Sus scrofa: one gene and its partners. The protein of the gene in region 5 interacts with the protein of the main gene of each other region in a pairwise test. Links are inferred from orthologs where the notes say so. Each region holds a gene or a part of one and is shown on either strand. Other genes may lie near its edges.

Evidence for each region.
Region 1: the proteins of TRIM27 (region 5) and BAG1 interact in binary tests that used the Homo sapiens proteins (3 or more experiments, as listed by UniProt). The two-hybrid records come from large-scale screens. The link is inferred for Sus scrofa from reciprocal best matches to the Homo sapiens genes TRIM27 and BAG1.
Region 2: the proteins of TRIM27 (region 5) and NEK6 interact in binary tests that used the Homo sapiens proteins (3 or more experiments, as listed by UniProt). The two-hybrid records come from large-scale screens. The link is inferred for Sus scrofa from reciprocal best matches to the Homo sapiens genes TRIM27 and NEK6.
Region 3: the proteins of TRIM27 (region 5) and PRAM1 interact in binary tests that used the Homo sapiens proteins (3 or more experiments, as listed by UniProt). The link is inferred for Sus scrofa from reciprocal best matches to the Homo sapiens genes TRIM27 and PRAM1.
Region 4: the proteins of TRIM27 (region 5) and FNDC11 interact in binary tests that used the Homo sapiens proteins (3 or more experiments, as listed by UniProt). The two-hybrid records come from large-scale screens. The link is inferred for Sus scrofa from reciprocal best matches to the Homo sapiens genes TRIM27 and FNDC11.
Region 6: the proteins of TRIM27 (region 5) and GSE1 interact in binary tests that used the Homo sapiens proteins (3 or more experiments, as listed by UniProt). The link is inferred for Sus scrofa from reciprocal best matches to the Homo sapiens genes TRIM27 and GSE1.
Region 7: the proteins of TRIM27 (region 5) and KAT14 interact in binary tests that used the Homo sapiens proteins (3 or more experiments, as listed by UniProt). The two-hybrid records come from large-scale screens. The link is inferred for Sus scrofa from reciprocal best matches to the Homo sapiens genes TRIM27 and KAT14.

Annotation. Positions count from the first base shown.
Region 1 is NC_010452.4:33,233,773-33,237,617, forward strand, and holds part of BAG1 (BAG family molecular chaperone regulator 1), read left to right. Parts: intron 1-405; coding exon 406-519; intron 520-3,368; coding exon 3,369-3,476; intron 3,477-3,845. UniProt on the Homo sapiens protein: Co-chaperone for HSP70 and HSC70 chaperone proteins. Acts as a nucleotide-exchange factor (NEF) promoting the release of ADP from the HSP70 and HSC70 proteins thereby triggering client/substrate protein release.
Region 2 is NC_010443.5:265,133,736-265,137,580, forward strand, and holds part of NEK6 (serine/threonine-protein kinase Nek6), read left to right. Parts: intron 1-787; coding exon 788-928; intron 929-1,853; coding exon 1,854-1,916; intron 1,917-3,845. UniProt on the Homo sapiens protein: Protein kinase which plays an important role in mitotic cell cycle progression. Required for chromosome segregation at metaphase-anaphase transition, robust mitotic spindle formation and cytokinesis.
Region 3 is NC_010444.4:70,809,526-70,813,370, reverse strand, and holds the end of PRAM1 (PML-RARA-regulated adapter molecule 1), read right to left. Parts: intron 1,675-3,845; coding exon 1,620-1,674; intron 1,512-1,619; exon of another isoform or gene 1,504-1,511; coding exon 1,398-1,503; intron 1,253-1,397; coding exon 1,090-1,252; intron 1,006-1,089; coding exon 972-1,005; intron 895-971; coding exon of another isoform or gene 860-894; intron 732-859; coding exon 548-731; 3' UTR 512-547; downstream 1-511. UniProt on the Homo sapiens protein: May be involved in myeloid differentiation. May be involved in integrin signaling in neutrophils. Binds to PtdIns(4)P.
Region 4 is NC_010459.5:62,556,886-62,560,778, reverse strand, and holds FNDC11 (fibronectin type III domain-containing protein 11), read right to left. Parts: upstream 2,486-3,893; 5' UTR 2,096-2,485; coding exon 1,091-2,095; 3' UTR 818-1,090; downstream 1-817.
Region 5 is NW_018084804.1:137,828-142,360, reverse strand, and holds the start of TRIM27 (zinc finger protein RFP), read right to left. Parts: upstream 3,093-4,533; 5' UTR 2,711-3,092; coding exon 2,291-2,710; intron 1,137-2,290; coding exon 1,041-1,136; intron 1-1,040. UniProt on the Homo sapiens protein: E3 ubiquitin-protein ligase that mediates ubiquitination of various substrates and thereby plays a role in diffent processes including proliferation, innate immunity, apoptosis, immune response or autophagy.
Region 6 is NC_010448.4:3,654,712-3,659,174, forward strand, and holds the start of GSE1 (genetic suppressor element 1), read right to left. Parts: upstream 2,854-4,463; 5' UTR 2,582-2,853; coding exon 620-2,581; intron 1-619.
Region 7 is NC_010459.5:26,491,383-26,495,227, reverse strand, and holds part of KAT14 (cysteine-rich protein 2-binding protein), read right to left. Parts: intron 1,117-3,845; coding exon 995-1,116; intron 1-994. UniProt on the Homo sapiens protein: Component of the ATAC complex, a complex with histone acetyltransferase activity on histones H3 and H4. May function as a scaffold for the ATAC complex to promote ATAC complex stability. Has also weak histone acetyltransferase activity toward histone H4.

The DNA of each region.
Region 1 (3,845 bases), on a different chromosome or scaffold from region 5:
TGGATCATATGAGAGCTCTAAATTTAGTTTTCTGCGGTACCTCCACACTGTTTTCCATAGTGGTTGTACCAGTTTACATTCCCACCAACAGTGGAGGAAGGTACCTGTCTGGTGATTATTGACTTCATTTTAATCTTAAATATTTTAGGAGTTTCTGTCATGACTAGCATCTATGAGGATGCAGTTTTTTGATCCCTGGCCTTGCTCAGTGGGTTAAGGATCCAGTGTTGCCATGAGCTGTGGTGTAAGTCACAGACGCAGCTTAGATCCTGCATTCCTATGGCTGTGGTGTAGGCCAGTGGCTATAGCTCTGATTGGACCCCTAGCCTGGAAACCTCCCTATGCCGAGGGTGCGGCCCTAAAAAGACAAAAACAACAACAATAATAATAATTTACATATTTTAGAACAGTTCAGAAGAAGAAGTAGAACTAAAAAAGCTGAAAGATTTGGAGAGATCTGTGGAGAAGATAGCTCACCAACTGGAAGAGTTGAATAAAGAGCTTACTGGAATCCAGCAGGTAAATCTGTCTGTGGACTTTGACTTTCTTCCTTTTATGTGAACTCTCTAGAGATACAAATGTGTGGTTACAAGGATGCCTTTGTTGTCCAACTCCCTGGATTCAGATCTTGGCTCTACCGTTTCTGTTACAGTGGGCAAGTTCGCCTTTGTCTCATGTTCCTCCTCTGTAAAAAGGGAGTATTGATGGTACCTCCCTCTTAGGGTTGTTATAAGGATTAAATAACATAGTTTGAGCCTCTGACTAAGTGCTTTATAAGTGTTATTATTATTATTATTTCCAAACCCCAGCCAGCATCCATTTGTGCTCCTGGCAGAACACCTGCTGTGCTAGGTTCATGCATTGCCTGAAATAGAATAAGTAGCTTCTCTCAGTTGATTCAAAGAAGGTCCAAGTTGAGCATGATCTTGTGGTGGTGTGGTGGGGTCATCCTATTCAATTCCCCTAATATTAGAGGTGGAGTAATGAAACCAAATAAGGATTAGGAACAGGCCCAAACCACATACGTATTTTTGACCCCTTCATTTTATAACATTAATGGATATATATGTGTTTTCATTACAAAATTCATATATGCTGATTGTACCTTACTTTTAAATAGACATATGTATACTAGAATGGAAAATAATATTACCTTTAAGACCTAACTCAAAGATGACTGTTACTAAAAACTGGAATCTATTTTTCCAGTTAAAAAAAAAATTGGTGTCATGTTAGGAACCCTTTAAATTCCTTTTATTCATTTAAAAAATTGAACTTTTTCTTATGTTATTAAAAATGATCATACTTAACCCAATCATTTTGCTGTACACCTGAAACTAACACATTATTGATTAACTATACTTCAATAAAGAAAAAAAAAGTCTTAACTGGAAAAAAGTGATCACACTTTTCAAAATTTGCATATTTCATATTATGTCATATGAATGTATCATGGTTTACCTAACCACTTCTCTATTACTTACCACCCAGTATTCTTTTACCATTATGTGCAATCATCCTTAGACATAAATCTTTTTTGACCATTTCTTTATTTTTTTATTATTTTATTTTATTTTTTGTCTTTTCTAGGGCTGCACCCACAGCATATGGAGGTTCCCAGGCTAGGGGTCTAATTGGAGCTGTAGCCCCCCGCCCTACACCAGAGCTATAGCAACGCGGGATCCAAGCTGCGTCTGTGACCTATACCACAGCTCACGGCAATGCTGGATCCTTAACCCACTGAGCAAGGCCAGGGATCAAACCTTACCTCATGGTTCATAGCAGGATTTGTTAACCACTGAGCCACAATGGGAACTCCTTTTTTGATCATTTCTGAATTTTTTTTTTTTTTCCTTCTTTTTAGGGCTGCACCTGAAGCATATGGAGGTTCCCAGGCTAGGGGTCCAATCAGAGTTGTAGCCGCTGGCCTATACCACAACCACAGCAATGCAGGATCCAAGCTGTGTCTGTGACCTATACCACAGTTCATGGCAATGCTGGATCCTCAACCCACTGGGCAAAGTCAGGGATCGAACCCACAACCTCATGGTTCCTAGTCAGATTCGTTTCCCCTATACCACAATGGTAGCTCCTGACCATTTCTGATTTTTTGGAACTTCCACATGCTGTAAGCACAGCCCCCAAAAAAGTTGGAGTTCTGATTGCAGCGCAACAGAAACAAATCTGACTAGTGTCCATGAGGATGCAGGTTCGATCCTTGGCTTTGCTCAGTGGGTTAAAGATCCAGCGTTGCCATGAGCTATAGTGTGTGTCACAGATGTGGCTTGGATCCCATGTTACTGTGGCTGTGGCATAGGCCAGCAGCTGCAGCTCTTATTCGACCACTAGCCTGGGAACCTCCATATGCCGTGAGTGTGGCCCTAAAAAAAATAAAGTTCTACATGTATTTTTCTTTATCCTCACAGTAACCCTCTGGGGTGTGGGCATCATGATCTCCACTTTATTTATTTTCCAGGAAACTTTTTTTTTAATTATTATTTTTTTTCCATTATAGCTGGTTTACAGTGCTCTGTCAATTTTCTACTATACAGCAAGGTGACCCAGTCACACACATATACATTCCTTTTTCTCACATTATCATGCTCCATCATAAGTGACTAGATTTATTTCCCAGTGCTATACAGCAGAATCTCATTGCTTATGATCTCCATTTTAAAATGAGAACACTGAGGCACAGACTGGCTAAGGAACTTGCTCGAAATCACAGGCCATGCTGAGGAGTAGTCAGGATTAAAGCCCAGGCCTGTCAAACTCTAAACCCTGTGTTTTGTTTGTTTGTTTGTTTGTTTGCTTTTTAGGGCCATACCTGTGGCATATGGAAGTTCCCAGGGTAGGGTTGAATTGGAGCTGCAGCTACCAGCCTATGCCACAGCCACAGCAATGCCAGACCTGAGCCCCATCTGTGACCTATACCACACCTCACAGCAATGCCAGATCCTTAACCCACTTGGAGCCGGGGATCGAACCTGAATCTTCATGGGTACTAGTCAGGTTCTTAACCCACTGAGCCATAACGGGAACTCCATAAACCCTATGCTTTTAACATCTGCCTCTTCTGTGTGGGCCTCTTGTATATGAGTATACACTGGTGACAGGGGCTTTGCCAGAGCCAGGCATCCTGGGGCATTTGCAGCCTCAGTGTGCCACGTCAGATAGAATGGCCAGCAGCCTATTGGCAGTGTTTGGGGTGGCTCAGGGCTAGCTTCTCTGTTTTTCCCAAGAGGTGAAGTTGTGGGCCTGACGTCTGGCCCAGCCTGTTGGGGAGTGTGGACTGGGCTGTGGCTGCTTGGCTTAGCGTTTTCACCAGCCTCAGAGAACCCTTGCAGTGATGTGTCATTCTTCCACAGGGTTTTCTGGCCAAGGATTTGCAAGCAGAAGCTCTCTGCAAACTTGATAGGAGAATAAAAGCCACCATCGAGCAGTTTATGAAGATCTTGGAGGAGATTGACACACTGGTAAGTAAATATTCCACAGAGAAGTTCTAGCTTCCTTTGACTCTATCTCAGTCAGTTCCTTTCTTTCAGTATCTCACTCATTGCCTAAGTATATTGAGCACCTACTGTGTGCCGGACACTGCTAGGTCTTATTCTGTGAATAAGCAGAAAGCTAAGATGGTTCCTGATTTCTCATGTCCCACCAAAGTAGGGCTTTTGTCATTTTTATTTATGTGTGCTAGTAGCTTCTAATCCTCAAGAAGCTGGGACCCAAATGGTCCATGATCTCATGGTCAGACCAGGAATTTCAGTTCAGTGAAATTTATTGTAGGTTGAAAAGAAATCAGCATACAGGAGTTCCCGTTGTGGTTCAGCAGGTTAAGAACCTGA
Region 2 (3,845 bases), on a different chromosome or scaffold from region 5:
GATCTCGAGGGATCCTCATAGCCATCCTGTGAAATGTGTTTTTTGGGGGGGTGTGCCTGGCCACTTCCTGAGAGCACCTTTGCAGGTGTGGTTTTTTGGGGGGGCGGTGCAGGGGTGGTGCCTGGCCATTGCTGCCTCATCTGTTGGCTCCACCCCCGAACAAGTGCTGAGTTTCATCGTGGCTGTCAGTGCTGGTCCCTAGTGGGTCATCATGAGGTCTCCGGATTCTTCCCATTGCCAGAAAGGGGACAGTTGATCCAAAGAATGGGCTCAGCGTGTAAGACTGCAAATTTAACTCTCCTTTTCTCATCTCTGAGGTGGGCATGGCCATCCCTGGAGGGGACGTGGCTGCTGCTTACGATGACGTGCAGGCTTAGGGCTGCGGTTGCACGTGGAGGCCACGGGGCCAGAGAAACCCCGCAGGGCCTCCCCTCCGCTGGGTGACTTGGGAGAGTCACCTCCTTAAATGTTTATTGCACCTGCTCTGCTAGCCAGACTCAGGAGTGAACAGGCAGGTGAGGCCCTGGCCCCATGGAGCTGCCTTCCGGGGATGGAGAAGGGAGCAGTGACCAGATGCTGAGGGCCGGTGACGAGTGCTGTGGCGGAAGCCCCATCTGCACAGTGGGGTCATTGGGACCCAGTGGAGCGGGTGCGGAGAGCGCCACGGGGGCGCTCTGAGAGTGGAGCTGGCGATGAGGGGCCTGGAGGGGGCGTTGCCCCCCCCCCGGGTCCCAGCCTTCCAGTCTGCCTGGCTCGTCACCAGTGCCCTCTTGTACCTCTCCTCCAGAGGCACCCGAATGCCCTGTCTTTTCGCTGCTCGCTGGCCGACTTCCAGATCGAGAAGAAGATCGGCCGAGGCCAGTTCAGCGAGGTGTACAAGGCCACCTGCCTGCTGGACAGGAAGACAGTGGCTCTGAAGAAGGTGCAGGTGAGCCCACCGCTCCGTGGGGGCAGAACCCCATTGGCAGCCGGCTCGTGTCTAAACACTGTACTTCTGGGCTCACCCTGTCCCTTCTCTGTCCTTCTGTCCCCCTCGCCCTCCCCGCCCCACTCTCTCCCGTTCCTCTGTAAGTGAGGGAAATTAGTACCCACTTCGCCCACTGGGCTCTGGGAGGATCAGGTGGAGTGAACCATAAAGGAGAAGAGCAGTGAGCATGCGCTGAGCACCTGCTGTATACTGGGTGGTGCCAGAGCTCCCCGAACCTTGACCGCAGTCTTCTAGGTAGGGATCACCATCCCATCCTTCAGAGGTGGTGGGTGACCCAGCAGGGCCCAAGGGAGCTAAGGGGAAGCCGAGACGCAGCTCTGCAGCCAGCTGGCCCTCTCTGGTCGGTTCTGGGCTTCTCTGGTGTTGGTTCTTAGTGCCAGGATGGGTTCTGTGGTGGGGCTGCTGCAGGGACCACCTCCTGTGTCTTAGCAGGTGCTGGGAGGACCCACGCGGAGTGAACACTAAAGGGGCTGGGGCGTCAGGGGCCGTGTACTGTACCCCCTCTTCCTACTCAGTCCACACAACCGCCCTATGAGCCCAGGCTGTTGGCCCTATTTACAGAGGTGAAGACTGAGGCTTCAAGCGTGTTTTCCTGCCTGCCACTTACCAGTGCATGACCTCAGCAAGTCACTGCACTTCTCTGGGGCCTCGCTCTCCTCCTCTGTAAGTTGGTGACCGTATCTCCTGCCTCATGGGAGGTACAGTGATGATTCGGTGAAAACCGCCCCTGGCAGGTAGTAAAAACTCAATAACCCAAATCATTGTCCTTATAGGGTTCCCTCAGCAAGGAGGTGGGAGAACCCGGACTGGGGGTGCTGGGTGCTAGGTTTTAACCACTCTTTCTCTGTTTTTTTTCTCCCCCAAGATATTTGAGATGATGGATGCCAAGGCCAGGCAGGACTGTGTCAAGGAGATCGGCCTCCTGAAGGTGAGTGGCCTGGGCCGAGTGGGAGCCCCTCACTTCCATGGGCCAGGCTGGGCCACCGCATGGCCATTACAGCCCTTAGCCCGTTAGGTAAAGAAATGACTTACTTTAGAGAGGCAGCAGCTTGTTCATTTTCTTGTGGCTGGGCGGGAACTCCCACCTTACTTCTGCCCAGTCCTCAGGGTGCCCCCAGGCTGGCTGTCCTTGTCCCACGTGCATCCTGGATGTGGATGGGAGAGCCTGGAATAGCCCTTGCCCTAAGGCAGCCAGATCACGTGGCTGCTGCAGGGGAGGCTGGGCGTTGGGTGGGACTGCAGGTTGCCTGTCTGTCTGTCTCCTTCTCTCTCTTTCTTTGCGCTCAGCCTCATTCTCTCGTACTCCCACGTGGCGGCACACACATGTGGCTATTCAGCCCCAGCGTGCTCTCTCCACCCCCATCCTCTTGCTCCCCCCCCAGGAGATGCTCTCTGCTGGGGAGACTCCCACAAAGCCTGCCTGGGGCGCTGGGCAGCATTGACAGCTAAGCCCGTGACCCCAGGTTCTGGGGGCTGGAGGGGTCCAGGATCCCGGTCCCTGAGTTGTCAGCCTTTTGGGCTCTCGCCGGGCCTCCCACAAGGAGGAGGCAGGGTGCACAGCTGGGGAGGGGTCTCCCCAAGGGGGTAGCTGATGCGCCCGCCCCTCTGCAGGCGGAAGTCCTTGGTTCAGCCAGGGCACGGCTGACGGACATGGTCCTGTGATGGTGGCGTCTGGGGCCCTTTTCCCCTCCCCTCTGGCTTCCCCGCTGGGGTCCTCAGCGTCAGAGATAACGGAACTTTCTGGATGAGACTGAGCCTGGGGCTGCTCTCCTGGCCATCGTCCCTCCTCCCCAGGCTTAGGATCCCGCCGGAGAACTAGTCGGTGACAGAGGAGGAAAATGCGTATGGGATTTGGAGGCCCCAGAGCCTGGGTTCAAACACCAGCATCCTCATTTACAGGCTGCGTGACCTTAAGCATATGCTTTAACCTCCCTGAGACTCAGTTTGCCTAGCGGCTCCATGGCGAGAATACCTGCCTCAAAAGATACAGGCAGATTGAGAAGATGAAATAAAATCGCATCTGAAGCGGGCCTGGCGCAGTAGGGCACACAGTAGGCGCTGACTTGGTGTCCTCCCCTCTTCCCACGAAACAGAGAGCTTGCTTGGTAGCTTCCTATAAAGGGGGGGCTGCTGGTGGCAGTCAGGCCTGGGCCTCTGCCTCGGGGACCCCCAGACAGAAGGGGAATAGACAGGGCAGCAGATGGTGACTGTCCACTGTGATGCCAACTGACCCGGGGACCCCAGGAAGACCCTTCAGAGGCCAGACCCCCGTCTCAGAATCCGGAAGACTGAGAGGAGCCTGCTGCAGGAACCCCGACAGTGTGGCTCGGGGACGGGTCATGGTGGCCTTGAATGCCACACTCAGGATTCAGAACTTGAACGTGGGAATTGGGGGTGAGGCTGAAGTGACCAAGAGCCAGGAGCTGGAGCCAAGGGGAAGCTGTGAGTGCTCACTGGGGTGGCCCCTGGCGGGGATGGGTCCCAGGGGCAAGGCTGGAGGCAAGAGGCTCTTAGAGAGGTGCCCACAACTCCAGCTATCACAGGTCCAAATATACCCTTCAAATCACAAATCACACTTTTTTTTTTTTTTGGCTGCACCCGTGGCAGGTGGAAGTTCCCAGGTCAGGGATCAAACCTGAGTGACAGCGCTGAGTCCTCAACCCAGTGAGCCACCAGAGAACTATCAAAAGTCACCTTTTTAAAGTTTTATGAGATGGTCAACTTCGGGGCCCGGTTGTGACCTCAGGGACGCTGATCCCCCACCCCGTCTCCCCATGTGTGTCCAAGAACACACATGTGCCACTCACACGAGGAAAGAATTGTAGGGTGTGGGCACTGAGCCAGCCTGTGTGGTCCC
Region 3 (3,845 bases), on a different chromosome or scaffold from region 5:
TCATATGGCAGAAGGGGCCAGGGGACCTTATAAGAGCATGAATCCCATTCATGAAGCCTCTGCCCCCATGACCTAATCGCTTCCCCAGAGGCCCTGTCTCTTAGTATCATGACATGGAGAGCATTAGGTTTCAACACAGGTTTTTTTCTGACCATATTTAATCATGTCAAGGTTCAGGCTGAACTTGATACTTGGACCCTATCAGAACTAAGTAATATTCCCCCCAAGGTATGACCTCATACATAGGTCCACTTGGGCTGGACAGCTGATTGTAGTCTGTGGGGAGCTGCAGCTGCTGCTTGTTATGTTGGATGTGAAGGGTTACAGAGGGTCTTCCCTTTCCAATCTGAGTGGCAGCTGACATGGGGTACCATCACAGGGACTCCCACCTCAAAGTCTAGCAAGGTGCCAAGCTCCCTTGCCACCTTCCCCTGATCCACTTTTCTCCTTCCTGGTCTCTGTGGTTGAGGGGGTGAGGCCTGGGAGAAGCGAGGTGACCCCAGAGATTCTTCTGAGTGTTTGATTGTGGCTGTAATGTGTGTGCCCATTAGAAGACAAGAAACCAGAATCGCTTTAAAGGAAGGGCTTTATGTGGTCTGTGTACGTGGTCAGACAGGACCCCAGGCAGTTCCGTGATGGCCACGCTGGGATGCTGGGCTGGTGTGTTGTTCTGGGTCCCCACACCAGCAGGCGTTATTGTTCCCGGGGCAGTGGTTGGTTCTCCAGAGGATCTGTTGAGGAAGAGTGACTTCTTCAGTGACCCTTGCCCCATAAGCAGATAGCCCCTGGGGGAATGGGATGAGACCTTACCCCTCTGAGGCAATGTATCCCTTCCAGTCCACCCAGAGTATCTACGTACCCCAGAAATCGACATCATCGTATACCTCTGTTTCCCTGGTGGAGAGCACAGTTGGGTCAGCAAGGGTCACCCTGACCCATGACAACCCCCACCCATCAGGGCCAGTACTCACAGGGGCAGGAGAGCTGTTCTGGGCACGTAGCCATCTGTGAAGAGAGAGCAGGGATGGTGAGTTCTCTCTTCCTGATGGTGACCCATCCTCCAGGGCTGCCTGGGTTGAGCTCACTCACACTTGCCCTTGGTGTCCCGGCATAGCATCTCCTCCTTGCTGGTGAACTCAATCACCTCCAAGATCTCCCCACGCCGAATTCCCAGATGCTTGCCACCCCCACGTCGTGTTTTGGCATTGGGGTCAATCATCATCCTAGTCAGAATCACGATCTCCCCCTCAAACTGGGGAGGAAGAGGTTAGTGTTTTCGCCTGTGCTGCCACCCAGAGACTCCCCGGCTGCTTTCTAAGGATGGAATTCACTGGGCCTTGGTCAACCGGAGCTGAGCCCAGCCCTCCCAGGACTCTTGCTTTGCGTGGGGTTCATACCTTGAACTTCTTCCGGAACTCCCGCTCAGCTTTCTCTGCCTTCCGGATCTGCTTCAGGGACTTTAGGTCCTCGGGTGGTGACTGCTGTTGCTGGGGCGCCTTCTTCCTGAGCCCCTCAAGGAATTGGGTGCTTGTGAGCAAGATGTGCTTCTGGGAGACACCCCTTTACTGTCCTCCCAGGGCTCAGCCCCGCCCTGCCCCACTCCCTTTGCCCTGTGGTACCTGGGCTCTGGGTCTTGTGGCCTCTTGGGGGATTGCTGGGTAGACAGCACTTCATCTGGGACAGTCAGAATGCCGACTTAGGGCAGGGCCCCTTGGTTTGGTCTTTTGACCTACTGGCTTGATCTTTCCTGTGTTAATTCTCATGACAGGGGGTAGGGGAGTGGGCAGTGGGGGCCCTCCCCTCCCCTTTCCCCAGGCCTTTCTCATGGGTTGTGAGTTCTCTTTCATTTTCTTAACTCCTATCACATGTTAGGTGTGGGAGAAACTGTTTATCCCTCATGTCAACTCTATTGATGACTGTCATCCCAACTTGCTCAGGATGAAGTAAGGGTTCAGAGAGGTAAGAGAGTCTGCCCAAGGTCACCCAGCTGTTAAAGGTAGAGGCAGGATTTATCTGTGAGCTTTTGATACTGTTTCACTCCTGCCTGGTAGAGGAGGTAAGGTTTTGGGAATTGTGATGTGGGTCAAAAAAATAAGTCAGGAAGAAAAAACCCATTTTCTAGAAAACAAAGGTCCACCTCTGGAAGGAGCTGTTGGGAGGGGTTTCTTGGGTTGGCTTGGCTGATAATGAGACTCTGGACTGTACAGGTCTCCTGGGTGAGGCAAATAGCCAGCTTTCCAGGTATGAGCCCTGCTCGCCCAGGGTCTGGCTTACAGTGAGACCCTCATGAACCCCAGGTGAGTGAAGGATCCAGAACCTGAAGCCACCAGCTTTTTGCAGTCCTTTCTGGATAACTGGACCTTTCAGGCCAGCAGAAGCTCCCCTCGGACTGCCTGATGGGTATTTGCATGGCACGCTCCCACCCCTCCAGGTGCTGTGCTGGATGGCCTCCACCCACCGTCCCCCCCCAGAACACTCCCTCTCAAGCTCCTCTTATCTCTCCCAGATATTCACTCAGCTGGGAGCTGGGAGTGGACTTGACTTCACCCTAGAGCCCCTACAAACCTGCCGCAGCTGGAGAGCTCAGGGCAGGGCAGACCCTGGTGTGCCCATGTCCCCAGCCTCCTGGCAGTGAGATCCTGAGCTATCTGCCCTCAGGTCCTGGGAAAGAACTGGGCCGGACCCCTCCAGAGGATCTGTTCAGGGAGCCTCTAGTGGAGCTGCCACTGCTCTGAGTGAGGCATGGGGGGGAAGCCCAGAGTTCCTTCCAGTTGGGGACAGACTTGAAAAAGGCAAAGCAGCCCTTGGGACAATCCATACCACCAGTGAGCTCTACTCAGTGTCTGGAGAAGGGAGAGGAGGTCTAGGGAAGCTCGTGGTATCTAATGGCGATCTCGAACAACTGGCATGAGATGGGGAGATGGTTGCCCAGTGTCTAGGATGGTGGGCAAAGGTAGGGATGTGCCCAGTCTGGGGTTGGGGGTGAGCCATGCCTGCAAGGCTGCTGGAAGTGGAGTGGCCAGAGGTACTCCTGCCACACATCCACATCCCCAAGCGTGGCCCGAGCCACAGATCCTCGCTGGGGCGGAAGCAGGAGGGGCCCTGTCAGGAAGCTCTTTGCTAATCCGGGTGTTGCAAGCAGCCCCTGGGGAAAGCCTAGGAGAAGCAGCAGGGGCCTGGGAAGGAGTAACAGCTGTTGAGGCAGCAGACTTTGAGGAGAGGGCTGGTGGGGAAGGAGCAATAGTATCCAAAAGGCACCCTTGCAGGAGACCCAAAGACAGGGCAGGGAAGCAGCCTGGGAGCAGAGGGCTGGGCTACCATGTACTGGCCGTGTGAGCTCTTGGGGCAAGTCACTTCTTGTGTCCTCTAGCTTCCACTTCTGTAGTATGGGCATGACCCCACCTCGGGGGTCGTGCACATTCTGGCAAAGTGCTGGCACAGGAGCCATTTTTGTTTGTACATGAGGTTGCTGAATGCATTATCCTCACAGCTACGGCTGAGTGGCCTCCGTTCTGCTCTCCAGGAGCAGAGGCTCAGAAGAAAAGAGAAGGGTCCAGAGTGCAGAGAGTTGCCTGGGACTGCAGACCCAGGGTCTGTCACAGCCTGTCTCCAGCCTGTGCCTCTGATCTCAGGCTCAAGTCCTACACGTCCCTCAGGCATCTCCTCCAAGACCACAGATCTAAGATGGGTCCTGATGCCTATCTTACTCTGTACCCAGGTGCAGGCTCAAAATTTGGGCCCCATCCCTGTCATGAACTCTCTTGCTCTTGTCCTTGGTGATACACCACCAAGTCCTCTTGCTCCTTTTTGCCTGATTCTTCCACTGCTCTCCATGTCTCCTGCCA
Region 4 (3,893 bases), on a different chromosome or scaffold from region 5:
GAGAGGCCTGGGAGGGGAGCCCTGGCTGAGGCCACCCCAACCCCGCTGAGGACACTGTCTGGAGCTGGGGAGGGTGGGGCTGGGCCTTTGTGACACAGCTGGGGTCCCCACTTGCCAAACCTCTTCTCGGTGGGGGAGGGGCTCCGCTCGGGGCCACCCTGCCCCAGACACGCCTTGTCTTCTCGGAGGCCACCGCAAGGTGCCTGGTGTGACAGAGGCGGTTATCGGGGTACTGGGGTGGCTCCGGCCCCCTCCAGCTGACTGTCCTCCTTGGCCATAGCCCGCATACCTGGGGCCGCCCCGAACAGGCCCGCGCTGCGGGAGCAGGTAGACCGAAGGCCGCGTCCCCTCAGGAAGTGGACGTGTGCGTGGGGGCGCTGCTGGCCGAGCCGGAGGTCACATGACCCCGTGGAGGGTGGCCCGGGGCGATGGGCTGGGGGGGTGGGGTGACCCCGACAGGAGCTGTGCACTGGCCTGTATCGGGGGGAACCTGCCAGGCAGGGTTCCCTGCCAGGCCCCTCCCCCGCCTTGGGATGGGGTGCAGATGAACTTCCGCTTCTTTGGGGGAGAAGACAAGACTTTTATTTTCATTAAAAAAACAAAAAATAGAATGTCCTTCTGGCCTCGGCCGCAGGCTCAGTGACGCTGAGGGCAGCAGTGCTGGGGCGGGACGCAGGGTACAGGCCTCCCCCCGGGAGCCCCAGGCTAGGGGGCAGGAAAGAGAGCCGGAGGCTGCGCCAGGTCCCAAGGCGGCACTGTGACGGGGCTCCACTGTCCCCACAGCCAGGGGTGGGGGTGCTGCCAACAAGTCCCCGGGGCAGGGGGTGGGGGGCAGAGCCTTGGTGCCGCTCCCATCCTGGTGGTGGCAGCCCCATGCCAGGGCTGAGACTTCTCGCTCCAGGGTTTTGGGCTCCTGGAGCGGCCAGCGGGGGCTCCCCCCGCAGAAGGGAGCAGGAGTGGGGGGGCCTGGGGCTGCGTCAGGAAAGACACTCACGTGGCTGCTGCCGCCTTTCGAACGTAAGCAGGTTTGTTTCTTTAATTGTGTGTGTGCGTTTATACTCCTCTTTATTAGTGGATAAATATTAGAAAATCATCTCTCGGAAGGTGTGGGCAGGGGTGGGCTGAGCTTGCCCAGCCGGCCGGGAGCGGGCCCTTCGGGAGGCCCTGGCCGGGTCTGCAGGGTGAGGCTGTCCCGCCAGGGCTCGTAGACCAGCGTGTAGCTCTCCGCCCTCTTGACGGTGAACCTGTAGGAGCGGTTGGGCAGCAGGTTTCGGACGGCGACGGTGCAGGCGGCCACGGGGATGGCCCCGCACTGTGTCCGCTCCTGCTGGGTCCGCGGGTCCAGCAGCTTGAAGCGCAGCTCGAACTGCTCTGCCGCGGCCGGCTGGATGGTGACAAACCAGCGCAGGCTGACCCAGTCCTGGTGGGCCACCGAGGCCTTGCGGTCAAACACGACGGGCATCTTGGTGCTCAGCATGAGCCGGATGTGCGGGACCTTGGCGGCGCCAACGTCAGACACCAGGCGGTGCTTGATATGCAGGCGCCCTGGCACCATCATGGCGAGGAAGCTGTCCATGACGGCCGCCAGGTCCGCCAGCCGCTGCTCCACCAGCCCCCAGCCCGCCAGGAAGGGCCGCGGGTCGGGCGACTCCAGCAGGGCGTCCAGCTCGGAGCGGCCGTGGTCCAGCTGCTCCAGCAGGTCCCCGAGCAGCAGAAGCTGGATCTTGGTCTGGGCGGTGCCCAGCTTCTTCATGCGCTGGAACTTCCAGGGGTCGATGAGCTGGAACATGGCAGAGGGCAGCACCAGCGGGTTCTGGTCGCCCAGAGCCAGGTGCTTGGGGAGGATCTCGATGTAGTAGGAGCACTTGCGGAGGAGGTCCATGCGGGCGTGGTGGCGCCTGAGCAGGTGGGGGCTCAGGTCCGAGGTCAGGAACTCGCGCAGAGCGTTGCGCCGCTCCACGTAGGTGCGCCAGGCCTCCGGCTCCAGCAGCTGCTGATCCTCGGCCTCCTCGGCCTCCTCCTCCTGGTCCAGGAAGGACTGGGGACAGTCCAGCTTCATGTTGTCCAGGCCCAGGCCTGATACCTGGAAGTTCATGGTCTGGGAGCAGGGGATGGAGGGCGGGGCGTGAGCTGCAACAGTCACACTGGCCTCTGCTGCCCACCCGGGGGCTCTCTTGGGGCAGCGTTGGTGTGGGGGGTGACTTCAGGCCCACTGACCCCCCGGCCGGGCCCTCTGTCCTCCCTGGCCTGGGGGGCTGGTGGTGGGAGGCGGGGAAGGAGTTTGGGGTGAGGGCTGGTTTCTGGAACGAGGCTGTCTGGAGGGCCAAGTGGGCAGGCTGCCCATCTGGGTCAAAGTGGACTTGAGGGTGTGACACTCTGTTGATGGATTGTGATGACACAGGGCAGGGCAGTGACCGTGGGCTCTGGGCCAGAACCCCCCACGGGGAACCCCCACGGAGCAGCTGTGAGGCCACATCTGCTCCCCTGGGCAGTTGGGAGGACCCAGGGCGATCCTGTCTGAGCAGCACCCGAACCCGTGGGGACACCTCTGTGCTGCAGGCCCTCCCTGCCTCTCTGTAGGTGCAGAGCCGAGCTCAGGGAGGTGGGTGGCCCCTGGCCTCACCCAGGGGAATAATCCTGCCAGTTCCCGGGCCCGGCTGTGTCCTGGGGCCTCGGGCGCCTTGCTGAGCTGACTCCACAAGCAAAGCCCCAAATGGTGAGGTCTTGGCACCCTGCCTCACAGAGGGGGTGCATGGGGCTACAGAGCTCGCTAGCTTGCTCTCCGTCCAGGCTTTGCCGCAGCCACAGACGCCAGAACCCGAGTCTCCTCCTGCACCCTCTCCCACGCGGGCTCCCAGCTGAGTGTCCAACGATGCCTGGTGAACCCACAGCTGGGCACGGCTGTGGCCCCAGTCCCTGGCCACAAGGCTGGGGCTCCCTGGCTGCTGTCCCCGGTCCCAGCTGGCCTCCAGGTCAGTGAGACAGACCCAGTGGCTTCACCTGGGTGGGAGAATCCCTAACAGGAGCTGAGAGGCTGAGCAGCCATCCAAGGCTGCACGGTTAAGGTGCAGAGTGGGCTCGGGACCCAAGTCGGTCTCCCTCCCCAAAGGCCAGGCCCTGACCTTCCAGGGGCAGAGGCGGCGGACCAGGCCCTGGGCACTGCAGAGAGGATGTCTGGGGTGAGTTGCCAACCCAGACCAAGACCCCTGGACTCCTGGCAAAGTCCTGCGCTGGCTGGAGCCTGGGACAGATTCATGCCGCCTCCAGAGGCTCCAGATCTGGCTTCAGTTCAGAGGCCTCGCCAGGGCCCAAGTCTCTAGCTGGAAAACCGCAGAGGGGCCGCTGGGGAACTCGGGGAAGAAGCCGCCTGCCCTGGCCCCTGGCCTGCCTGTCCACACCTACACCCCCCCACCCCGACCCCCACCCCCCACCCCTGGCCTCAGACCCACTTCCCCTCAACCCGCCCACTTCCGCCACAACCCCCTCGTCCTCCAACCCCCGGCCGCCTCCCCGCGCGCCCAGCCTTCCCGCGCGCACACTTACCCGGCCTCCCGGCGCCGGCGGAGCAGTGCGGTCCGACTGTGTGTGCGTGCGGAGCCGCCGGTTCCAGCCTCCCGCCCGGCGCCCCGCGAGTTGCCATGGGGACTTTGTGACGCCCCGACCGCCCGGGGAGGGGGCGGGGAGGGGGCGGGGTGGGCGGGGAGCCAGGGCGCGGGATCGGGGGTCCGGACTGGAAGGCTGGAAGAGTTGCAGGAAGGTGCGAAGATTGCGCGGGGCGCGCCCCCCAGGCCCAGGACCCGGACCGAACAAACCGCTTGTCCCGGATGAGTCACCAGCCCCGTCCCTCGCCCTGGTCTCAGCTTGGACAGAACTGCCCAGAGGTTTCGCTCCCT
Region 5 (4,533 bases):
GGAAGAGGCTAGAAAAAGGTAAGAGCCCTGAAGCCTGGCAAGCTAAAGGGCAAGGACTTAACAGCAACTGGGAGCCATGAAAGACTAGCAGGGAAGTCACATGGTCTGACGTGTGCCCCATGGAGGATGATCTGGAGCACACAGCCAAAATGTCTACAATGGTCCTCAAATAACCTTGATTTGTATGCTTAATTATTTGAGTCCACTCAAGTTTACCAGAAGATTCTCCACCCATCAGATCTATTTTCAAGCAGGGGAGCTGACGTCTCAGTGGATTTTGTGTGCAAAACAAGTGATGGGATTTTATGGCATCGTGAGAGTAAGTTTCATTATACTATTTTTGGTATAGTAAATCCAAAAATTCTTTACTATACCCTGTCCGGGACTGACAAAATTTCTCACAAGATGGTGCCAGACACTACTAGTCTAAGACTTTGCTTTTCAGATGCAAATACTTCTAATGAGTGAGAATTTGTAATATTTTATTTATTGTTCAAAAAGATACTGAAAACACCTAGGTGCTGGACATATAAGTATATATTATAAAAATCTTCATATTTTTGTCTCGTTTTTCAGAACAAAACCCCCAAACATCCCTATCACAAATTAGCACATCAGCCACTTGCTAAGGCCTTGAGATGATAGGGGAAGGAAACAAAGTGAAAAGTTTAGAACTGAAACATTGCCAAGAAAAGGAACTTTCTAGCAAGAAGTTAACTGTCGGGCTCATGGAAAACCATCTGTCTGCAGAATGGTACCAAAGGAGGCTAACCACCCAAGAATTTCACCTGTATCAGCTTTGTCAAGGATCAATCATGGTCTACACAAAGCTAGAGGATTAAATTTATCTCCAGGGGTTTTAAACTCAGCTATTCCCACCTTTCCTCCAAAATGTAGTAATTTCTTGGTTTTCCAGGTGAATTCTCACCTGCTATGTAAGCTTGTTCCACCCAAACCTGGATGACCTGACTGCACAAGCCTTGCAAAAAAAAAAAAAGAGTGACCAGCAGAACTGACATTATCTGTGTATCGAGTCTTACCAAGAGTTCAGCTCGTGCCTGCTCCCCCTGTGCCCGACGCCTCTTCTTTAAGTCTTTCACTCTTTTTAGATGGTCCAGCTGGTTCTGGATTTGCTCCTGAGAAAAGCAAAAACAGTTGGGCAGTTCAAGATTAGGCAGACCTTAGCATCAATATGGCTACTCTGCTTATCACATGTGCAACCCACATTTCTGATGCCAAGTCCCTGGTTAGAGTCCGTCCTTGGACTACACTGCCGTCACCAGGGCACAGAGGTCACCACACTTCTCTTTTGGTAGTTTGTATCTTAAATGGTGGGTAAGGATACTCCACGGCTTAGTGGAAAGGTGACTGGACTAGGTGGCTTTGAGTTGTCGCTCTTTCACAGTCGCATACTGAGAAGATTTAACAGCTCTTATTTTCTTATTGACATGGGCAAACACCGCTTTCTCAGCCTCCTGGAGGGTTATCACCAGGGTGAGTAAAATGATGTGAAAGCATTATAAATGTTAAGTGAATAATTTTGCATGAATGTACTCACAGTCAAACATGTACATGTTCCTGCAGTCCTCAAACACACAGATCATGCACTCCTTGAATGTTGCCTTACAACTGTTTTATATTTAATACTTTGTTTCCATGTTACTGTTTAGCTGCGCCCGTCTGCTGTTTCATGAGTTTACAAAGGGATCCACACATCAGCTCACTTCACTCAATCTTCATAACTGTGTTACCTCCTTTGAGTCTCACGGTGGTTAACTGACTTAAGCAGTAAGGAGCTCATTTTTCCGTGAGCTTCTAGAAGAAGATGGAGCATAGGGAAGTGGTGGGGAAAGGAGAGGTGATGGCCATCTGCTAGATGTGTATACAGCCAGTTAACGTCCGACTGTGTCGTGTCTGAGATCATCTAGGAGCCATCAGGAGTAAGAGTGTCTCTGAAGCTTGCAGATGCGTACATGGTTTTACGCATTCCTTTTGTACAGTCAAGGGAAGGGGGTCTCCATGGGCCGTGCCGGTGAGCGGGGAAACAGAGGGGCACATAAGGAAAGAAGAGTGGGGGTGGGGAGACTTCTGGCTTCCTCACCAGCTACAGGTTTTCCTCCCAAATCTGAGTGCCGAGGCTCTGGAGCAGACAGAGAGGAAATGACGGCTGTGAACCACACGTCCGGCTCAGCCATTTTCTAGGCGGAAAAAAGGAAGCCCCTTTGGCTCTCTACTCCCTTTGTCCGACTCGCGCTCCAGCCCCTCCCCGGCCCGCGCGCCCGGCCCTCACCTTGAAGCCCTCCACCGCCTCCTCGAGCGGCAGCACGCTGTGGCCGCGGTGCTCGCGGGAGCGGTCGCACACCACGCAGATGGGCATCTGGTCCTCCTCGCAGTACAGCTTCAGGGGCTCGCGGTGTTTCTCGCACACGCCCATCTCGCCTCCCGGCCCCGACGGCCGCTCGGTGCGCAACTGTTTCACCAGCTGGGTCACGTTGGCCAGGTGCCGGTTGGGCCGCATGTGCCGCTGCGGGAAGGTCTCCCGGCACTGCGGGCACGACACATTGGTCTCCGCCGCGCCCCAGCAGCGGGCGAGGCAGGCGCAACAGATGTTGTGGCCGCAGTCCAGCATCATGGGCTCGACAAAGTACTGCAGACACACGGGGCAGGTGGTCTCCTGCTGTAAGCACTCGGCCACGCTCCCGGAGGCCATGGCGCGGGCCCGCGGGGGCGCACGGGCATGGGCCCTTGAGCCCAGCCCTGCGAGGAGCCCAACTCTACGGCTCTTCCCTCCCGTTCGCTGCTTCGGGGCGGCGCGGGGAGGCGAGCCCGGCTGACGGAGGGCGGCGCCTCCCGGGCCCTGATCCCAGACGCGCCCGCGCGTTGGAACCGGGGGTGGTCGGGCCGCGGGGCCCAGCCGAATGACGTGGGGGTACTTCGGCCCCACGAAGCCCGACAGCTACGCCAGGGGGTCGCGAACCAGAGGCTGCGCCAGTCGGACTCCAGGAGCCGGGCGCTAGGAAGGCGCGAGACAACGTGGCCTTGTCCCAGCGGGTCCCGGCGGCCGCACAGACCCCACCCCGGCGCGAGCGGAAGAGGCGGGGCGGGGGCGGGGCTTGGCCCGAGCCACCCGGCGCCGCACGATTTTCTGGCCTGAGGGCTGGGCAGTTTTCCCCTCCTAGGACCTGGGAGGCCTTGCCCGCTGCCCTGGGGCTGACCGGGCGGGGAGCCTCAGGAGCAGGTAACCGAGGCAGGCGGTGTCCGCGGGGCGCGACGGAGACAGGGTAGCCCCTGCCTGCACGCGCCAGGCCCACTCGAGTTTCCGTGGCCCTGGGCCTAGCCCCCTAGTCCTTTATTGGGCTTCCTGCCTGGTGCCCAGGCCTCAGCAACGGCGAGAGAAAGCTAGCTTTGTGTTGGCGTGGGAAGAGGAGACATCTGGCCTCCTTGGGAGGCCGGAGGGGTGGGGGGTAGCCCACTGAGCCCCACCCAGTCTGTGAGAAGCTTTGTCTAACAACCCCATTAACAGGCAGTCGCAATTTTGTTTCGGAAAAGAAAGGCTTAATTATCAGAAGGCAAGATTGTTGTAACAGAAACAGACAAGCCCAGTTCTGCTACTTCCTACTGTCCTAAGCAGAATGGTTTACCATTCTGAGCTTCAGTTCCCTCTCTGCCTCTGGCTCAAGCTATACTCTCTGCAGCCCTCTACAAGGCCTACTCCTAACCCAAACAAGCTGGCGACATCACTCTCTCTTTACCAGCAGGCTTCCCATGTTCACGTAGAACCTGAAATTCTAGTACTTGGTTATTTTCTATCTAGACTTTCTTTAACTTTGCCTTGTGTAGAACACTTGAAACCAAAACACCTCCGACTCAAACCCAGGCTAAACCCAGATTGGGACTTGAACCCACAGTTTTTTAATTAGAATCACTCCCCTGGTGTCTGGACTTACTGAGGCTCAGGTTCTTTGTGCCTCAGGGCAGAAGGAAGGAATTCATTGAGAGGCAAAGTGATGGGCAAGAAATAGATTTATTAAGATACAAGATGCTTGTGAGGAGGCAGGTGAGGAGGCTTTTCTCCAAGAATTCGGTGGGCTACATTTTTGTCATCCAAGGAAAGTGGGGAGTAGGAGAAGACCACCTTCTTCCTCATCCTTCAGGTAGACCTCAGGCTCACATCACTAGCTCCTCCTTTGTATTGGGTAGGAGAGTATTTGACCCTATGACGTCAAACTAGGACTGCCTTGGTGTTCATTCAAATCAGCCGAAGGGTGGTAACATATGCTAAAATATGTTGAATAATCTCAGGTTTCCATAGAGTGAGGGTCTCCTATTTTGAAATATTATCTTTCCCTTACATTCCAGTCCTTAGCCCTAAGGAGCATTATCTTGCTGAACTTGAGTGCAGGCCTCATTTTATCTTTCACTTAATGACCTGAGGCATATCTTGTGCTTTTATTTATGGTTTTATAGTTAAGCGAGCCTGCTTCCTTCCCTGATGTCCTGATAGCTTGCTTGCTTGCTTTTTGTCTTTTGTCC
Region 6 (4,463 bases), on a different chromosome or scaffold from region 5:
GCAGAGAAGAAAGACTCTCTTCCCACCGGGGAGAAACCGTCTGTTTAGGCCACCGTCCCCGGGGTCCCAAACCCCCACGTCTGGAAATCTGTCTCCATCTGCTCTTAAGCAACCAGAGAGCCTCAGAGGGAAAGTGTGAACTTGGGTGGAAAATTCTGGAAAAGCTACACTGAGTGGGAGTGAGAGTCGAGAGGAACTTCCACCTCTGATGTGTTTCAAACCGGGTGAGTGCCGAGACCTCTCGGTGACCTGCGTGGCTGGACTAATTACCAATGTTATCAGGCGGATGACAGACGTGCCCCGAACTTCCTCTGTTTGATAGATTCCGCTGCAAACACTCAAGTTCAGGCTCATGCCTGCTGCTTTCAGTACTGCCCTATTCTTCCACGAGGCCACTCCTGGCCTCCCAACTCCTCTGGCCTGTCACACGCTTCCGAGCTCAACCAGGTCAGCGTGCTCACTGAGCCCTGGCCGGGTGACCTGGGGCAGGGGGAGCGCCCCTCCTGCTGGACCACACGGGGCGCAAAACCCCTCTCCTCTCCAGCAGCGGTGCAGAAAACAACATCGCCTCCTTCCCTGCTCGGGTTTCAGAGGAGGACACGAGAACGGAGCTGCTTACCTTCCTCGCCGCCGCCCCTGGGGAGCTCCAGCCCGTGGGTCCCTGGCGGGTGAGCCCTTGGCCAGCACACACCAGGGTCCCGCACTCCGTGCAGGCGCCGATGATCAGCTGTCGCCCATCGTCCACGAGCAGGCTGTGGCTCGCTCGAAGGGTGTACAGAAACAAGGGCAGCCGGGCCACCCGCACGGCCTTGAGCCCGAGACACCGCTTCTTCTCCTGCTGGCAGAAGAAGCACACGAATATCTCCACTTGGTACTGCCGTGACCAGGGGCTGATGGCGTGGGGGGCGCTGCGGGCCTCGTGCTGCAGCCACTGGCCCAGCAGGTCATGGTAACAGAGCACGCAGGTGGCCACCAGGCCGGTGGAGTCGGCAGGCCTGGCGCGCGGGGCCGGCGGGTAGACAGTGAGGAAGGGGAAGAAGGGCTCCTTCTCGCCCAGGCGGCTGGAGGGGTTCACGTTGAGCTGGAACTCCTTGCCGGGGCCCAGCTCGGCCCCGCAGATGTAGCAGACGGAGGCCGGGCCACCCTGGGCCGAGGCGGGCGGCTCGCAGAGCGCAGGGTCCGAGGCTGAGAAGGCCTGGTGGTACCGGCCCAAGAAGCCCTGCACAGAGGTGATGAGCTCCTCGTTCTGGCAGGCCCGGTACAGGGCCCACACGTCCTCCAGGACGCTGAAGCACTTGGGGCAGCTGCGGACCTCACAGCGCTTGTTGGGGCCCTGGGCGTTGGGCGGGCAGGGCAGGAGGCTGAGAAACGGGAAATGCATGGAGCCCCTGGCGTTGCCGTTGAGGGTCCTGCAGGCCACGGCCCGGGCATCCCGCGTACAGTCCTCCCCGCAGAGGTAGCAGGCCTCTGGCAGGGCCCCGGCAGGCGGGCCCTCTTCCCTGGGGAGCCTCCTGCCCTTGGAGGCCATGCCGGGAGCGTGGCTGTTCAGGGGCACCACGTAGAGCCGCTGCAGGACCGGCACGTTGGCCAGTTCGAAGCTTTGCCACTGCTGCATGAGGGAGGAGAAGCAGCAGGGGCACACCAGGGTGCTGCCACCCTCGCTGATGGGCTGCGCCCCCGGGGGCGGGCTGTGCAGCCACAGGAAGGGGAAGAAGGGCGCCTGGGCCAGCTTCTCCTGCTTCTGCACGTGGATCTGGTGCTGCGAGGCCGGGGACAGCGCACACCCACAGATGTAGCAGCAAAGGCCCTCTGGTGGTGCAGCCCGGCTCTCCAGGGGAGCCCGGGGGGCACGGCCCCCGCCAGCGGCGTCCTGGTCTCTGGGGCAGCAGGGGCCTGGGAGAGGCTGCTCCTTGCGGTCCTCCTCCTCGCTGGTGATGTTGACGTCACTGTCCTCAGAAGCGCGCGTCTCCGCCAGCGGTTTGCTCTCGGCAGTCTTGGCGGCCCTGCCCAGAGGGGCTCCTTTCACGCCCTCTGCAGGGGCGCCTTGGACCGGAGGCCTTTGCCAAGGGTCCGGAAGGCCCCTCAGGACGCTGGCCCGGGCCTCTGGGGCCCAGGGCCTCCCAGCGCCCTTGCGCCGGCGCCGGATGCCGGCCCTGGGCTCCCCGTCCACGTGGAGCTTCGAGGGGATCCCGTCGTCCTCCAGGTCCCCCGGCGTGGGGGTCTCCGCGCCCAGTCCCGGAGGGGGTCCCGGCGCCGGCCTCCACTCCGGGCAGCGGCCCCCGCGAGGCCCGGGCCCGGGGGCGGCCCGCGCCGCTGGCGCCCCGTCCTGGCGGGGACTGGCGGCGTCGCGCGCGGCGGGGTCGGGCTCGGAGAAGGGGTCTGTGTCCGACAGCTCCGACAGCTCGGAATCTCGAGGCTCCTCGGGGGCCGCGCGGGGCCCGGGGCCGCCGCCGCCGTCTTCGTCGTCGTCGGCCGCGCCGCCCAGCGCGTAGGCGACGTTCCACTCGCGGGGGGCCCCGGCGCCCCCGCGGCGCCCGCCCGCGCCCGCGTCGCACTGGTGGGGCCGCTTGAGCCAGTACATGCGCTTGTCCACGGGCGTGCGGGCGCGCTCGAAGGCGGCCCACTGCTCGCCCAGGAAGCAGCGGCACACGGCGCACACCAGCACGCAGCCGTCGGCCGGGGACAGCTCGCGCGCGCCGGGCGCCGGCTCCTGCTGCTGCAGGAACGGGAAGAAGGGCTGCGCCGGGGCCCCCGCGCCCGCCGCCGCCGCCGGCTGCTTCACCTGCAGCTTCAGCTCCTTGCCGCGCCCGATGCCGCCGCCGCAGATGAAGCAGGAGAGCGGCGCGCCGCCGCCGCCGCCCGCCGCCCGCTCGCCCACGGCTGCCATGAGCCGCTGCTTGCGGGAGACCGGCGCCGGCCGCCCGCTCATGGCCGCGCCGCGCCGGCCCCCGCGCGCCCCGGGCCGCCCTCACCGCCCGCCGCCGCCGCCGCCGCCGCGCCCAACTTGGAGCATGTGTGCGCGCCGCAAAGTTTGGCGGCGGGCGGCCGGCGCGGGCGCGGGCGCTCGGCCGCTCGCAGGGGCGCCCCCCCCGGCCGGCCGAGCCCCCGGCGGCGCCGCGGCGAGCGCGCCCGGAACGCAGCGGCGGCGGCGGGCCCCGGGCGGCTGGAGCGGCAGCCGCATGTGCGAGCTCCGGCGCCTGCCAAAGCGTTGGGTCATTTAATTGGGGAGGAGGGAGGAGGGGAGGGGAGGGGAGGGGAGGGGAGGGGAAGGGCGGGAGGGCGGGAGCGCGGCGGGCGGGGGACTCCCTCCCTCGCGCTCCCTCCCCTCCCTCCCCTCCGCCTCCCTCCTCCTCCTCCACCACCTCCTCCTCCCTGCCTCCCTCCCAACCCCCCCCCGCCCCCCCCCCGGTCCCAAACTGCGCACAATAGCTCGCCGGCTCCTCTATCTATTTTGTGTCCAGCCGGGAGCCGCGCTCGGTGATTCATTGCCCCAATTAGGGGGCTCTCTCCAGCGCGCCAGGCTCGAGCCGTCTGAAGGGTCTCCTCCGGGACCCGCGAAAACCCATCAGCCGCTAGAGCTGGTCTTTAAGTAAAGGTCAGGCAGGACGCCGGAGGAGCCAGGTAAGGACGCGGCCGGCGTCCCCGGAGAGCCCGCCGAGGAAGGGCAGCTCTCTAGAGGAGGGAGGCTGCCCAGTGAGCTGGGCTGTTGCCGGCCCTCTCCCCATTCCAAAGGGTCTCAGCACCCGCCCCCCACCCCCATCTAAAGGGCCCTTTACAGCCCTGAGGAGTCCTGGATCCGGGGTATCTTTCAGGGCCCAGGGTTCTAATTTTGGTGACAGGGAAGAGGGGCTGTCTCCTGGTGGCCTGAACACCTTAGTGAATGCACCAGCCATCCTGGGGACAGACTCGGCTGCCCCGCCCCTCCCCACTGCTGGCCAGGGACAAAAAGGGTCCCGTGTGTCTAGGCTGTGTGTTCCAGGGCGATGACTCAACAAGTCTGGGCCTTTCAGGGGATTAACTGGTTCCAAGTCACACGTGTAGATCATGTATTTCTTAAACACACAGAGAGAGACCTTAGCATGCGCCAGGTGCAGAGTCTAAGCAGTTTATACACATCCTCTCGGTCGCTCTTTTCAGTAACTCTGGGTTAAGTGCCACGATCAGCCCATTGCACAGATGACAATGAGGAGGCGGCGAGCATTAAGGTGTACGCTTCGGGAGCGGCGGACCTGGGATTCAGACTCTGGCAGCCGGCTCCAGGCCCCTGTTCTCAACTCCCTGGCTGTACAGCCTCACTAAACAAACATCTGGGCCCTGTCATCCATCTGCTGATGGAGACTGGCCACAGCAGGGGACACAGCCAGGACCTCTCCGTCCTCCCTGCTGCTCTGGCTCAGGCTGGGAGGCCTCGTGCAACTCTGGGCCTCTCTAGGCCTCCCATTCCGAATGGACAGAATGCCCAC
Region 7 (3,845 bases), on a different chromosome or scaffold from region 5:
AGCGCTCAGGAGTAATGATGAAAAGAGAAATGAATGAATAAACTGGGTGCATGTTAATATGCCCAGGCTTGGTGAAGCACTGTGAAGACCAAAGAGTACACAGTGGTTTCTACCTGCCAGAATTACTAAAGACAAATACTAATTAACAAAGAGCAACTGGAATGAGTGCAGTCAATTACTGCCTCTGTCTCTTCTTCTGACCTCCTATAAGGCACTGATCTTTAAAGGACATAATAATCCTCTATCCTCAAGTTAGTCACTCAACCGTTTTCTCCTTTTCTTTTTAGGGCTGTACCTGCAGCATATGCAAGTTCCCAGGGCTAGGGGTTGACTTGCAGCTGCAGCTGCTGGCCTATGCCACAGCCACAGCAACACCAAACCCAAGCTGCACAGTGACCTACACCACAGCTTGTGGCAAGGCCAGAGCCTTAACCCACTGAGTGAGGCCAGGGATTAAATTTGCATCCTCATGAATACCAGTTGGGTTCTTAACCAACTAAGTCACAAAAGAAACTCCATCAACCAACTATTAAACAGCCTCATTTGGAGTTTCCGAGAGGCTCAGCAGGTTAAGGATCCAGCATTGTCACTTCAGTGGCTCAAGCTGCTGCTGTGGCATGGGTTTGATCCCTGGCCTAGGAACTTCCACACGTGGTGGGAACAGCCAAAAACAACAACAACAGCCTCATTTAATCAAACTCTCTATTTTTTAACATCCTAAGAATCTGTTCAAATGTCTTCTTGCTCAGTAGAAACCAGCAATTTCCTCTGAAAGTAGCATTAAGAAGTATCGAAATCTAGATTTGTAATTTTATACACACCCACTCTGATTTTTAACTTAAAGTAACAAAACTGTTTGGATTAAAAAATACTCAGTAATTGCCACAAGTAAATACTCGCATCCTCTAAAGGCTTGCATTAGGGTGCCTCAAATCTCACAAACTTTATCCTTTGCATCTTCATTCAAGTATAAAGTTTTTTACAATCACATTACCTATTCCCTAGTAAAAAAGTCCAATGCTTCTCAATAAATGCACAGATATCTTCTTTCCACCTGAAGTAGCCTTGCCTTCCACTCCCTTCCAGAGACAGGTTGTACATCGCCAACATGACCACCTGAAACACAAAGAAACAAGGCTGGAGAAAAGCACAAACGGGGATGATCGACTCCCGAGGACAATGTTGGCTGTTCTGTCTTCTGAGTAGGAATAGCGAGGAATGGAGCAGGAAAAGGAAGAATAACATCTTGGAATATTCTTAGCACAGAATTTTACTTCCTTTTTTGCTTTCAGTAAATGAGTAGCACTGATTTCAATCTCGTGTGTTACATATGCCAGGCTGATGTGTGGCTGAGCTGGGATAAGGAGCAACTGCCCTAAGCAGCCTCTACCCAGTCTCCCTCCAACACTCACAAGGCAGCACAAAATACTGTGCCAGCTACTGGCTACTGGCAGCTGGAGGCTCCAGGGCCTGCTGCAGCCCACATTTCTGACAGACGGTACTGACCTTTATTAGATATTTTGAACTTCACCCCTGCACATATACTCTTCAGAGGGCAAAAACAAAAGACTCAGAATTTCATAACTGAAGATAACGTGAGGTACAACCTATTCTGGGTTTAGCCTTTCTCAGCTGTAGAAACCTTTACTGAGATGAAATCAGCAGAGACAAGGGATGGGGCCTGAAAGGCCTGGCTGCCAGGCCCCTCTAAGAAAGTGGACAACCCTCCAGCTCCACAAGAGCCTCCACATCTGGCTGTGAATTCATTATCCAATTTTTTTAGATAATGAATTTACAGCCCCAAACATGGTAGAATTTTTCAGAGGATAAGTAATACATGCTCGCTGTAAAAGACCTCAGTAATAAAGATAAGCAAAGAAGGAAGTAAAAATAATTTTCAATCCTCCATCCTGTTGTAGCTCAGTGGGTTAAGAACCTGACATAGTATTCACAAGGATGTAAGGTCAATCCCTGGCCGTGAGCTGTGGTGTAAGTGGCAGATGCAGCTCCTATCTGACTGCTGTGGCTGTGGTGTAGGCCGGCAGCTGCAGCCAAAAAAAGAAAAATATTTTTAAAAAAGAAATAATCCTGGGAGTTCCTGTTGTGGCTCAGCAGAAACCAACCTGACTAACATCCATGAGGATGCGGCTCTGCTCAGTGATTTAAGGATCCAGTGCTGCCATAAGCTGTGGTGTAAATCACAGATGAGGCTCGGATCTGGTGTTGCTGTGACGGTGGTGTAGGCCAGCAGCTGTAACTCAATTTTGATCCCTAACCTGGGAACTTCATATGCCACAGGAAAGGCCCTAAGAAAAAGAAAAACAAAAGAAATAATCCTTCTTAACATTTTTAGTGACTGTCCTTTCAAATACATATATATATATATATATATATATACACACACACACATACATACATATATACACATATATATGTACATATATGTATGTGTGTGTGTATGTATATATATATATATATATATATATTTTTTTTTTTTTTGTCTTTTTGTCTTTTTAGGGCTGCGGCCGAGGCATATGGAGGTTCCCAGGCTAGGGGCTGAATTGGAGTTGTAGCCACCAGCCTACACCAGAGGCACAGCACCAGATCCGAGCCTCGTCTGAGACTTACACCACAGTTCACCGCAACGGTGGATCCTCAACCTCATGGTTCCTAGTTGGATAGTTTCCACTGTGCCACGAGGAAAACTCCCAAATATTTCTCTTTGCATCTAAATGCAATTTTGTAACTGTAAATGAATAACAACAACAAAAAAACCCACAAGCTATCCAAAATCATGTTTTCAACCTAATAAAAATAATGATTACTTTGGGGCCAATGAAACTGAAATCCTTACATGATTCTTCTTTCCATAAGAAGCTGTAAAGAGTCTAATAAACGGCAGCTCATGCTCTCCATCAGCAGAAAATCCTAATGTCCAACAGGAAGACCTATGATTAACACCTCAAAGGGGCCTGGGGATTCTGGCGGGATTCTGCCAAACAATTAACCCCATGGAGTTTGTTCAAATCCTTCCACTTATTTTTGCATCAGGTCAACAATGGCCAACATACCTCTCCCTTTAAACAATTATTGTTCACGGGAGTCACTGTTAAATGGATACAAGATTTCAGTTTGGGAACATGAGCTTGATCTGGAGATGATGATGGTGATGGTTGCAAAACCCTGTGAATGTAACTAATGCCACTGAATTGTATGCTTAAAAATAATTACACTGGTAAGCTTTGCTATGTCTATTTTACTACATAAAGCTTTATGACTATTTCACTACAATTTTAACAATGGTTTAAGAAATACCTGAAGAAAAGAATGGAATGAACTCTTCTGCCCACTCTCAGGCTCCTTGGAAACATGTACTCACTGTTAACCTCAGTGGTACAGGCATAAGTGTGTTGTCCCATTTCTGGTACTTTTTTGAAATATTTGAAACACTTCACGACTTTTAAAAAATTAAGATTCACATATTTACTGAAAATAACTTTTCCTATTGTCATATTTACTGAGCAAACTACAAATCCAAAGCATTAAGGACATGGTTTTCCCCCATTTGTAATCTTAAATGAATGAATCCCAGCTTTGTTTTCTGTTCTCACACCACTAGTCCCAGCTCACAGTAACAGGCCAGCCTTGGGGACCAGCAACCCCAAGGCCTCACTCAGGCTGGCACTGCCCAGAAGGAACCTCCCAAATGTCTAAAGAGCACCCAGGAAGATAAGAAGCACCCAGGACAAGAATGTAAAACTGCCCTATCCCAGGATTTCCTGCTGTGGTTCAGGAGAAACTAGCATCCATGAGGACGAAGGTTCGATCCCTGGCCTTGCTCAGTG